Arabidopsis thaliana: one gene and its partner. The protein of the gene in region 2 purifies or fractionates together with the protein of the main gene of each other region. This does not show direct contact. Each region holds a gene or a part of one and is shown on either strand. Other genes may lie near its edges. The genes, in order: AT2G28330 and CYCB2;4.

Evidence for each region.
Region 1: the proteins of CYCB2;4 (region 2) and AT2G28330 purify together in Arabidopsis thaliana (affinity purification with mass spectrometry, with the first as the bait; one large-scale study listed by BioGRID). This does not show direct contact.

Annotation. Positions count from the first base shown.
Region 1 is NC_003071.7:12,097,271-12,103,699, forward strand, and holds AT2G28330 (uncharacterized protein), read right to left. Parts: upstream 3,488-6,429; 5' UTR 3,354-3,487; coding exon 2,889-3,353; 3' UTR 2,472-2,888; downstream 1-2,471. Other genes in the region: AT2G28320 (Pleckstrin homology (PH) and lipid-binding START domains-containing protein), read left to right, coding at 10-156, 238-530, 603-666, 782-978, 1,066-1,167, 1,252-1,302, 1,393-1,536, 1,625-1,720 and 2 more; GATA13 (GATA transcription factor 13), read left to right, coding at 6,402-6,429. UniProt on the Arabidopsis thaliana protein: Probable cyclin-dependent protein kinase (CDK) inhibitor that functions as a repressor of mitosis in the endoreduplication cell cycle.
Region 2 is NC_003070.9:28,626,926-28,633,438, forward strand, and holds CYCB2;4 (CYCLIN B2;4), read right to left. Parts: upstream 3,622-6,513; 5' UTR 3,434-3,621; intron 3,290-3,433; 5' UTR 3,275-3,289; coding exon 3,217-3,274; intron 3,128-3,216; coding exon 3,004-3,127; intron 2,915-3,003; coding exon 2,855-2,914; intron 2,778-2,854; coding exon 2,729-2,777; intron 2,639-2,728; coding exon 2,507-2,638; intron 2,424-2,506; coding exon 2,280-2,423; intron 2,202-2,279; coding exon 2,112-2,201; intron 2,017-2,111; coding exon 1,609-2,016; coding exon of another isoform or gene 1,570-1,608; exon of another isoform or gene 1,553-1,569; intron 1,527-1,552; coding exon 1,348-1,526; coding exon of another isoform or gene 1,344-1,347; exon of another isoform or gene 1,257-1,343; coding exon 1,121-1,256; 3' UTR 878-1,120; downstream 1-877. Other genes in the region: snRNP core protein SMD3, read left to right, coding at 99-155; FRS4 (FAR1-related sequence 4), read left to right, coding at 4,479-6,482.

The DNA of each region.
Region 1 (6,429 bases), on a different chromosome or scaffold from region 2:
GTATCACAGGTGGCGGTTATGTGATTTCTCCCATAGACAACGGAAAACAATCAGTTGTGAAGCACATGCTTGCTGTTGATTGGAAGTCCTGGAGATCTTATGTGAAGCCGTCCTTAGCTAGATCTATTACCGTGAAAATGCTTGGAAGAATTTCTGGTAGTTGCCAATTCTCTTAAAGGAAAATTTCTCAGTTTAAGCACTTTTCTTTTATCATAACATCCTTGTTGGTTGAATCAGCCCTGAGAGAGCTTTTTAGGGCAAAGCACGGAAGCTTTCCTCCTAATCTGTCGTCAGGGGAGTTGTCAAGAAGTGCAAGATTGACTCAGAACGAAGATGGTGTGTTTGGTGATTCTTCCCTGAGGGAAAACGAAATGTTTAAGGACACTGCAAATGAAGAGAGAGACAAATTTCCCTCAGAGCGCTCTAGCCTTGTAGACTTGGATGAGTTTTTCGACGTTCCAGAACCATCAGATAATGACAATTTGGATGACAGCTGGACCTCAGATTTTGATTTGGATACATGCTGTCAGGTAGCAACATCAGACAGGACTTTAATTTGCTCGGAAAGATAACAGTTCTGATTTTCTGTTTGCCGACTGCAGGAATCCCGCCAGCCAAAACTAAATAGCGCTACGAGCTTAGTGAAAAAATTACACGATCTTGCAGGTGATCCTAAGTTTCATGGAGAAATTCTGCTCTTATTAGTTGTGTCTTCTCATTCTGTTTTCTTCTTCTCTAGTTTCACCTGTCTTTTAATGGTTATAATTTTTTTCTCGAGCAGTTCAAAAGAGGGGTTATGTTGACCTGCATGAGAGGGCGAAGGAAGAGAGCAGCCCACATGCTACCTGCAACCCGCCTTGCTGCTATGGAACCACGCTTCCAACTGATCCTAGTTGTGATTTGCCTTGTAGTTGGACAACAACGGACCCATCTACTTTTCTCATTCGAGGAAAAACTTATCTTGATGACCAGAAGAAGGTAAAGAAAAGCTCATAACTTGTGCTTGAATATATCAATATGTATAATATTACTCAATTTGTAAACATTCTCTTGTGGTGGATCCAGGTCAAGGCAAAGGGTACACTGATGGAAATGGTAGCTGCAGACTGGCTAAAATCTGACAAGCGGGAAGATGATTTGGGGTCCCGTCCAGGAGGCATAGTTCAGGTTTTGATTATTATTGTTTGTTCTGATAGTTATTAGCCCCTCTCTTACTTTTTATAAGAAGTCTTACAAGTTTTTAAAATGCAGAAATATGCAGCAAAAGGTGGACCAGAGTTCTTTTTCATCGTGAATATACAGGTAAGAGGACACTCCTGTGACCAATGTTTTTTTATTCAGCTTTTCCATGTGTCCGTAAAAGAATCAATTAGTTGTTCGATGGAATAATAGGTTCCTGGATCAACAACGTACAGCCTTGTGCTTTATTACATGATGAGCACTCCTATTGAAGAGCATCCTTTGCTAGTTAGCTTTGTTAATGGTGATGACGCATATAGGAATTCAAGGTTCAAGCTCATTCCCTACATATCCAAGGTTGGCGTAAAAGATTACCTCTATTTAGTTTTATTATTTGTCTGTCCAATGCATTCATACCTGACTTTTGGTTTGGCGATATTTTCAGGGCTCTTGGATAGTTAAGCAAAGTGTGGGAAAGAAAGCATGCCTTATTGGTCAAGCCCTGGAGATCAACTACTTCAGGGGAAAGAACTATATTGAGGTAACACAGTAAGGATTGATGCTAGATCCTAACAGGAATTAGTATCTATCTACCACAACAGTGTGACTTTTCACGTTTGAGCCACGCATTGTTAGAAAATCTTATTTTTTTGTACACCTGTTATTTTCAGCTGGGCGTTGATATTGGGTCATCAACTGTTGCAAGAGGAGTTGTGAGTCTTGTTCTTGGTTACCTCAACAAACTCGTGATTGAAATGGCCTTCTTAATACAGGTAAACTAATTACCAATCTTTCCTGGTTTAAATCTAAGTCAACTTCGGTGGGTATTCTGGTTACATATTGAAGCATTGGATTTGAGTGAGCAATTTCTTCTTTGTGCAGGCGAATACCGAAGAGGAGCTCCCAGAATATCTTCTTGGAACATGTCGGTTTAACCATCTCGACGCTTCCAAAGCAATTTCAATTATTCCATGAAAGACCAAGCAAAGATCAAAAGTTCAGATAAACTATTCTTTGAAATTCTATTGAATGTGTGGTAGACACAGTTAGGCGCTTCTTATGCAACAACTCCATTGATAAGATCTTGGTGATACTGCTGAAGTCCTTTGTATAGACCTATAGACTTAGTTCTTTTATATATTAAACACAGATTTATTTGTTACAACTCCATGTTAAGCATTGATTTTCTAGCTTCAGTACTTTCTGAGTTTCGGTTTTGGCTTCCACCATCACCCAAATGCACACGAAAGACTGGTCTAAATGGACGAAACCCTGCACTATTTGCTTCATAGCTCCGATTTGCCTGATCTATGCACAACCTTATCCCACAACAAAGTTTCACTTGTAGAGCAAAGATATTGATTCAGTGGTAACCTTCTACAAACACCAATCAATAAAGGAGCACACCCAACAAAGCTCTGACATATCAACAAAGATAATACCTCTAAAGATTCCTTACCATACATAAGTTCTTAGGAAACATGAACATGATAAATTACAGACAAGAAAGAAAGAACAGAAACTGAATGTCTCCAACAACAACAACTAGCTTTAGCTAGCAATTACACATAAAAAGCCTAACAAGACTGTACAAACAAAAGTCAAATCACAAGAGCCATAAGAGTTTAAAAAACCCCTAAATCTCTTATAGCTTACTACAACACAACGACAAGTCATGTCAGTTTAACTCCATGTCAGATACTCAAGACTCAGAAGAGTTTTCTTCTTAATCCAGAATCAATATTCCTAGATATCTTAGTGAGCTTCATAGGAGCTCCAGGACAAGTATCACTAACCATATTCGAATCGAGATTCCGAGACGAAGGAGGCGGTGTTTTACAACCATCAAAACACCAAATCTCAGGAACAACAGCTACACTTTGAATCTGCTGCAATGAGAGAATAACTCTCAACAGATTCTGATAAAGAGACTCTATAATTTCGTCATCAGATACCAAAACACAATCCGAGATCGAAGCAGAATCAATCCTCTGTTTACACAGTGGAGACAAAGTGACGATTCCTCTGTCTTTCTCTGTAACTATTTCTTCTTCCGAAAGAGAAGAATCGGAATCAATGGCAGGAATCGAATCTGGGACATTAGGGTTTGGTGTTTTCGGCTCTATCGAAGAAGAAGCTGTTTCTTTCGCTTCACATGGTTCTTCTTGCTCCATTTGGATTCACGAGATCTAAGCAGAGAATAAAAATCGAATCTAATAACAAACGTATCTAAATTTAGTGAATTTTTTTGCAGAGGGTAAAGGACGAGGAAGAAGAAGAAGAGAGTGACGGCTCTTGCTTTTGGTTTGCGCCATTTTTTAGGGATTTTTGGTATTTATAATATTACTGGAAAATGAGAAAGATAAAATTAAGTGAATCTTAGCCGTTTGATTGTTTTCGATTTCAGATCTGACGGTTATCCGTTAACATCCATTTCTTAAAGAGACTTTGGAGTTCTCGCCTATGACGGACAACTGATTTGTGTTTGTTGTGTCCGGTTCTTATTTTTTTCTCAGGAGAAAAATTTTCAAGTAAAATTTGAGGATCGGTAAAATGGACACGTATACAAAAATGTTATAAGGAAATCAATTCTTGTTAAATTAAAAAAAAAAATTTGAAAAATAATCTTGTTTTGAGAACAAAAGAATCTATTTGAAACAAAATAAATGGATACACAAAAAAAAAAAGATTTAACCTCATTTGTAAACTCAAAATCGATTTGAGATTTATCTAGAAACAATGTAGTTGGCAGAAGTTGGATTTATTGAAAGTTGGAAGTTGGAACCATATGATGAGATTCGACATTACAAAGAAACAATTCAATTCTTCTTAATTTGTTTAATTTATTGGTGATCGCATCAGATTAGATATATCTCAAGTCGATTTTGAATTTTTATAAAGAGTAAATCTCCTTTTTGGCCATCTTTATTTATCTAAAAATATTTGGGTTCACCTTTAGCAGTGAATCATTTATTCATCTCTCCTTTTCTAACTAATCAAAATCTAAACCTAATAAAAATTTAAAATCTAATATGCCACTAAAATCTGTTTGAAGTTACAAAAGACGGTGAAGTTTAGGTATTACAATTAATTGAAGTTAAATATTTGTATAAATTTATAACGGATTTAAATTTAACAATTAAACGAGGTTAAATGTTAATTTGTGTTTGTAAAAAACGATTAGGGTTTAGATTTTACAATTAAATAAGATTAAATATCGTTTTAGGTTTATAAAAAAAGATTAAGGTTCAGATTTTGTAATTAAATGAGATTATATGTCGGTTTGGGTAAATTAATTAATATATATATATATATATTTTGTTGGACAAATAGATATTTTTTTAACAACATAACAATTCAGGTATTTTTGGCAAATATTTAATAAGCAGTTTTTTAAAGGATTTTTCTGTAAATAAAGTGAACACCGTTTGAAGATTTGGTTAACGCCATTAACAACCGTTACGGAAATGAAGGAACTCAGAAGAAATAAAAAACACAATCTATTTTTTTTTCCTGGCGAAATTAGTTTGTGCATTTTCTAATAACCAAAAAGTGTGATAGTTTTCTGGTAGTGAATTATAACCCCCAATTGTAATTTCTTAAACTCTTACAAATAAAATCTCATATCATAGTTAATTTCAAGGTAAATGTTTCATTTAATTAAAGAATACTAATTTATTATATTTCTAAATTATAAAATACTATGATTCAAACAACAATAAAAAGAAGTAAGTTAAAAAATTACTAAATTTCTGTTGAGTTTCTTAGATATATTGTAATTTTTTATTATCACTTATACATATTGTGATGAAATTTGATTAGCTTATAATATTTTTGAACCTAAATCATTAGTGAAAATATCAATGTTACAGATAAGTTTTGATAATAATAGCTGTATTTTGTTTCTTTTTGTTTTTCCTCTGATAAGAAATAATAGGTATATATTAAAAACTTGTATGAAATACAGAAAAAGTTTTGTATAAAATCTTTTTTTTAATTAATTGCTTAATATATATATCCTTTGAATAGAAATCCCACCATTAATCTTTGTCCAATTTAGAATGACAGAAGTTATTTCCTTTCATACATATAAAATGATTTGCAAATTTTATAATATAAAATTTAGAAATTCATTTTTCCCAAACAAGGTTTATTAGTAAAGATGACATACTGCAAATTCCATGTAGATTACCACACATTGGTTATCTCTCTCTCTCTCTCTATTTCATGTTCTGTGTAAAATCCCTAAATCTCCAGTTTCGGACAAATTACTCTCTCTTTCTCTCTCTCTCTCTTTTTCCTCGTTCGTGCTTGGGAATGTGTTCTGTGTAGTCAGCTGCGTTCTCGGAAGGTTCGTGTGTCTTTATCTCACCCTCTTCTTTTCCTTCTTCAAATGGAGATTTTTTGTTTTTAGTTTTTATTATGAGACAATAATACAACTGTAAGAAGAAGATGATTTGTTCTTTGTTTCGATTCTTCTTATCTCGTGATACATATGTAAGAAGAACATGATCTGTTCTTTGTTTTGATTCTTCTTATCTGGCGTTTTGTTGTTTAGTTGTGTGCCCTAAAATGTTAAAGGGAGATTGTTCTTATGATTTCTCGAGATGAGATTGAATTCAATGATGAAATGAATATTTTTTTAAAAAATGAAGAAATTTTCTATGTTTCTTACCTTAAATTTCTCAGCAATATCTGTAAGAATAAATTAAAAATTATAGAGAAATATTGACTCAAAATGAATCTTTTTCAATTTATGTTCTGGTACGTGATTGAGTCAATATATTGAGTGAGCTAATGGTAATTGAATATAGTCATACTTCATATTTTAGGTATACTCATTTGACCAAACAGTTCTTAATTAATTGTTATTAGTGAATTCACGGGTTTATGTCAATTTTCGCATTCTTATTCAGTTGAAATCTCTGAAAATGATATTTGCTAGTTGTTACTTGACTTGGCTTTCTTGCTTTTATATGTTTATGTTGTTTACTTTTGAGTCAACATATTAAGTGAGCTAATGGAAACTGTAGTCTTCATATTTTATGTTTATTCTCACTCAACGAGACCGTTGTTATTAATCAATTCACGAGTTGATGTCGATTTTCGCATTTATATTCAATTGAAATCTCTGAAACTTAGCTTTGCTTTCTTACTCTTATACCATATGTTTATGTTTTTTTCTATATCTTGTCTATGATTTTTTGTACAGTGGGTGACAAATGAATAACGATTTGTGGTTACCTGAAG
Region 2 (6,513 bases):
CACCTTTGCCTAAGTCCTTAATGTTTCTGATTTACATCTCAAGAAGACAATGTTGACAATTCAAAGCAACTAATTGAATTTTGTGATGTCATACTCAGGGTACTGGGCGTGGAACAGGAGGAGGAAGAGGGGCTGTGCCACCTGTGAGGAGATAGTTTAGTTAACCCTCGTAATGTAGCTTCGGCTCGTGAGACATTCTCTGCAGTATCCATGAGAATCCGCCATCTTCAGCTCGTCACTTATGCATTTAAGGTACACAGCAAGTAAAATCTCTAAGACATGGAGGGAAGAGAGAAAGAGGAACTAGTTCTGTGTTTTGGGTTACTAAGATGTTTGAAAAATTGACATGTTTTGTTAATGTGGTCATTGAGAGACTTCCCACATCTTATGTATAATATAGCACGATTCAAATTTCTATAATGAATGATTCGTCTTTTTAATCTTGGTAGAAATCAGAAATCATAAAATGATGGTTTTCTAAAAGCGGTCGTTTTTATCCATTTATTATATTCATTCGTTTATTAATCTGATAAAGATGGTCGGATAAAAACGGAGAAGACACTTGAGTTGTAGTAGGAAATAAAACATTCGACATAGGTAATGGTAAAAAGCGGCAACCGCGATTTCATGGTTTAGTTTCGGCCACCATGACTGGACCGCGGCCCGAGCGGCTTCAGCATAGGTAGTTGTAAAATCGACTGGTTCTTGTTTTTTTCAAGAAATTTAGCGACTTGAACGACCAAGTCAAGAGATCAAAGTGATTATGTCCACAAAACCAGAAGCCTAATTTATTTTCGCGACAAATGTTGTGAACTTGTGATTGTGAGTGATAAGATATGACTTGGACATTTGGAAAGAAGAGCGGAAAAATATGTTGAAATGAAGAACCCTAAAAAGTTAAGAGTTTTAAAAAACGCTTTCTGTTATTCTCTTATCAACGAAAATGAGAAGACTAAACCATCCACAGATATTTCGAAAACAAACAAGTGAACCCACACAGAGATACGTACGTGTTCAGAAACTTCCCCCCCATATGATGCAACTTATGTTGCTCTCTCTTCAGTGATAAAATTAGGTCAAGTCATTATAGATTCCGTGTGACCTAATTTTAACAGTTGAATCACAGCAGAAGAAACCCAGCTGGTTCAATTCTTGCAGCATAACCAAATTTGGATGTGTTGTATTTCCTGTGAACACCTGTTAGCTTCCCTGTCCCTGCCTTGTGATGCAAACCAACCATCTTTCTCGAACATTCCCTGTGAGAGATTGATCATCAAAACTCAACAACACTTTTAGAAATTCCAAATTATATCAGTAGAAAAAGCTACTTAGTTTTGATGTTCTTACAGAAGCGCTTCTTCGGTGTAGCCTGAGTGGAACTCACTGGTTTTGCTCCAATCCTCGTATCCTTTAAGTGTGCTCTGAGCAGTGTAGATCGCCGATGCAGCCAACTGAGAAGGAGTGTACTGAAGCATCTCGTACTCCACTAAACAAAGCTCGATCATGAAGAATGATAAAAGCTCAAGCTGAAAAACCAAACCTTATGATCATGTTTTGATTCTTTATATATCACATAAGACAGAAGATTATCATCAAAGTTACACAAACCTTTTTGTCAGATTGTGCAGCTTTGAGAAACCGTCTCATGAACACATATGGAGTTGGCAGACAGAAATTGAATTGCAAGGTATTCGCCATTAACTTCTCCTGCAAGACACAATAATGATCATCCACATATAAAGCAGAGCATCCATGGTTATAATCAGGACAAGATTTAGTGAAGGATTTTACCATATCAAGAATCTCTGTCCTAGTATAAGCCTTGTCAGAGATCAGGATTAGATCATCAACAACTGGAACTGAAACTTCTTCATATTTGCAAGCAAGTAACATAGCTGTTACACCCACAAGCTGAAGCTTTTTCCTCGCGATATGTTGATGAACCGCAAGAAATCTGTCAATGAGATTGATTGTCAGGTAAAGCGTCTCCTCCATCAGCTCAAACTTGTAATGTACCTGCAACAAAGATTCACAGTAAGCTTTACAGTGAGACAACTACCAACAACAGAGCAATTTTATGTTCATGTTTTTGTGTGTGTATATATATATACCTCAATCAACCAATCAAAAAGGATTCCTCTCATCCTCTCGTTAATGTCATGTTGATTCTCCATGTAGTTAGGCGGGACACAGCTACGACACTGCAAAATAATTGAAAAAGTTTCAATCTTGAAGCTAGAATGATCATAATGATACAGAAACAGAACACTAAAAGTTACCTCATTTTTCTTGTAGAAGCAATATATGTCATTAATGTATTCAACTACAGATAAAGGATTGTTCTTGTCACAGCTGTCTATATCCATCACAGACTCTTCTACTTCAGCATCAATATCATTTGAATCTTGCATTTCAATCCCTTCCTGCAGAATAAAGACAACAGGTTTCTTCATCCGAGTAACCAACAAAAAATAGTGGCTTAAATAAAACATGTTATTATTATTACCATTTTGTCAATCTCTTCAAGCATTGCTTCAGTATGTTGAACAAACATTGGTTCATTAAAGTCTCCTTCTTCCACATCTGTTATGATTCTATCTAATGCTTCGTTTGAAATCAAGTCTGGTTTCTTGGTTTCCTAACCACAAAAAAACCACTTGGAATTAGACAACCTAAACCATGTCATGTTTTCAAATACTAAATTCAGATAGAATCAATATAAAGGTACCTCCTTGTGGATTTGGAGATTGTTCTCAGCTAATTGAGCAGCAAATTTCCTGAAATTAAATAAAGAATTAAACAAACTCATACTACAATTTTGAAATCGAAGCAGAAATCAAATGAAATCACTCACCTAGTAACTGGTCGATGCACTGGAACAGGTGGAATCTTCTTGTTACAAATCCCATTTTTCCTGAGAAAACAATTGGTTACTAAGATAAGTCTATGCAACGTTTTTATTAAAGGATCATTGAAAGAAGAAAGTAATAAAAATATAATTACTCAGTGAATGGTCTCTTGACAGCACAAGGATAGACCGGAGCTCCGATGATGTTCTTGTTTATATTACTCAGTGCCCTTCTTGTCTGTCCATTCGTCGGAATTACCTTTCCTCCACGTAAACCCCCTAACATTGGCAAAATCATCTTTTTAGTTAATCAAACAAAAGATTGATTTTTGATTAAATGGGTCTTCTTGTTTTTAATTCTGATCTACCTTGTTGTCGATTCATCGGTCCAATGACTCCGTGTCTGTTCTCATCCGATCCACCCATTATTATCTTCCGTATCTGAGAATCGCAGAAACACTCGCATATTAACAATCCGAATTAAAAATTGGGTCTTGAATCCGATTTGAGAATCTAAAAGACTCGACGATCAAGAACAAGATGTACTCTCTTAAACCCATATGAAATCAACACTAAAGTATTTACCTTGAAGCTTTCAACGAAACTATTAACCTCTCTCTATCTCTATCTCTCTGTCAGAACTCAGAAGCAAAATCCCATAACAGCAAACACAAATCAACCTCTGGCTCTCTTCAATGATCTTCAAGAGTCTCTCTCTTTATCTTCTTTCTCTCACAACGAAAACAAAATTGAAGAAAAAGTGGTAAAAGAGACTGTAGAGAGAGTAATCAAAGATTTCGAAGACGTGAAGAGCGGATATATGTCTGCAACACACCAAAAAAAAAATGTTGTTTTACGAATCGTTATCTTTTTTTCCCCTTTTTAGAATCAACGGCTAGTTAATCTTAACCGTTGGATACAACCTCAGAAAAAAAACCTAATGGAAAAAGAGAATAGGAGCCCAACGGCTATATTTGTAACCATGTGCGTTTTTCAAATTTGGCTTATTTTCTTCGTTATTACTTATTACTACCACGCTCAAGTCTCAAAGGTCCAATGGTCAATGTTTTATTTCAATGTCACCGACCACCAACCGCTTCCTCATTATTAAGCCAATCTAAATATTAATACCAGTCGATTTGACCCCAAAACAAAAAACAAAACTTAGACCACATTATTATTAACCCAATCTGATAAATTTTAATTTTACCCGATTCTGATTTTTAATACTCAAGCTAGTAGATGATTTAAATCTTTAAACCTTAGACTAACGGCTCTTCGCCTTTTTGCTTTTTCCTCTTTACATCTTTTTCTCCAGTAGCTTTGTTAGTCAACACATTTTCCAAAAAGGTTGAAAATAAGTCAAAGTACAAACTGAATTACCCAATACGGCCCAATATCCTGATTAGAGAGTTAGGCCCAATATATCATCAGATTTGCAATCGCAAGTCTCTTTCAACTTCTCGTCGAATGTTATACTCTCCTCAGAGTTTCTCCGGATCTTTCAAAAACAATTCCGGTGAAGATGAATCAGTTCTGTGATTCGTGATTTATGTTACTCAATCGATTTCTCATGTTATAGTCACCGATCTGTATCGAAATTTTGGTGTGGATTCATCAAGCTTCTCAAATGGAGTTCGAGACTCACGAAGATGCGTATTTGTTCTACAAAGACTACGCCAAGTCCGTTGGTTTCGGAACTGCGAAATTAAGCAGCCGAAGATCAAGAGCTTCAAAGGAATTCATCGATGCCAAATTCTCCTGCATACGCTACGGAAGCAAACAACAATCCGATGACGCGATAAACCCTAGAGCTTCTCCTAAGATCGGATGCAAAGCAAGTATGCATGTAAAACGAAGACCAGATGGGAAATGGTACGTTTACAGTTTCGTCAAGGAGCATAATCACGATCTTTTACCAGAGCAAGCTCATTATTTCCGGAGCCATAGAAACACAGAGCTTGTGAAATCCAACGATTCTCGTCTCAGGAGGAAGAAGAACACTCCGTTGACTGATTGTAAACATCTCAGTGCTTATCATGATCTTGATTTTATAGATGGTTATATGAGGAATCAACATGATAAAGGACGGAGACTTGTTCTTGATACTGGTGATGCAGAGATTTTGCTTGAGTTTCTTATGCGTATGCAAGAAGAGAATCCCAAGTTTTTTTTCGCTGTTGATTTCAGTGAAGATCATCTTCTGAGGAATGTGTTCTGGGTTGATGCTAAAGGGATTGAAGATTACAAAAGTTTCAGTGATGTGGTTTCTTTTGAGACGTCTTATTTCGTGAGTAAGTATAAAGTACCACTAGTTCTTTTTGTTGGAGTTAATCATCATGTACAACCTGTGTTGCTTGGGTGTGGATTGCTTGCAGATGATACTGTTTACACTTATGTTTGGTTGATGCAATCTTGGTTAGTGGCTATGGGTGGTCAAAAACCTAAAGTTATGCTTACTGACCAAAACAATGCTATTAAAGCTGCAATCGCTGCGGTTTTACCGGAAACTCGCCATTGTTATTGCTTGTGGCATGTGTTGGACCAGCTTCCTAGGAATCTGGACTATTGGAGTATGTGGCAAGACACTTTTATGAAGAAGTTGTTCAAATGTATATACAGGTCATGGTCTGAGGAGGAATTCGATAGGAGGTGGTTGAAGCTGATAGACAAGTTTCATCTTAGAGATGTTCCGTGGATGCGGTCTTTGTATGAGGAACGTAAGTTCTGGGCACCTACTTTTATGAGGGGAATAACATTTGCGGGGTTATCTATGCGTTGTCGTTCAGAAAGTGTGAATTCTTTGTTTGATAGGTATGTTCACCCTGAAACCTCACTTAAGGAGTTCTTAGAAGGATATGGGCTAATGCTAGAAGATAGGTATGAAGAGGAAGCTAAAGCAGATTTTGATGCTTGGCATGAAGCACCTGAGTTGAAATCTCCATCACCTTTTGAGAAGCAGATGTTACTTGTATACTCCCATGAAATATTCAGGAGATTCCAACTTGAGGTTCTGGGTGCTGCTGCTTGTCACCTTACGAAGGAGAGTGAGGAAGGAACAACTTACAGTGTTAAGGACTTTGACGACGAACAGAAGTATTTGGTGGATTGGGATGAATTTAAGTCAGATATTTACTGCTCTTGCCGTTCCTTTGAGTACAAGGGATATCTCTGTAGACACGCAATTGTTGTCCTCCAAATGTCGGGTGTTTTCACCATTCCGATAAACTATGTGTTGCAAAGATGGACAAATGCAGCTAGAAACAGACATCAGATCAGCAGAAACCTTGAACTTGTGCAGTCTAATATCCGCCGTTTCAATGATCTATGCCGCCGAGCCATTATATTGGGAGAAGAAGGATCTCTATCCCAAGAAAGTTATGACATCGCCATGTTTGCAATGAAAGAAGCTTTTAAGCAATGTGCTGTTACGATTAATACCATCAAACATCCCGCCAGGTGTGAAGAAGCTGCAATTCAAGCAGGAGATCCTGTCCAGGAAGAAAATCAATATGGATCCACATCGACACAGATTGGACCCGAACCTAACATACATGCAGGCAATGTTCCATGGCAAGCTGAAACCAGAAGGGAGAAGAGAAGTAGCCTAAACAATACATCTAAAAAGGCAAAGGTTCACTAGCATTTTCTACTATGCTGTCAAA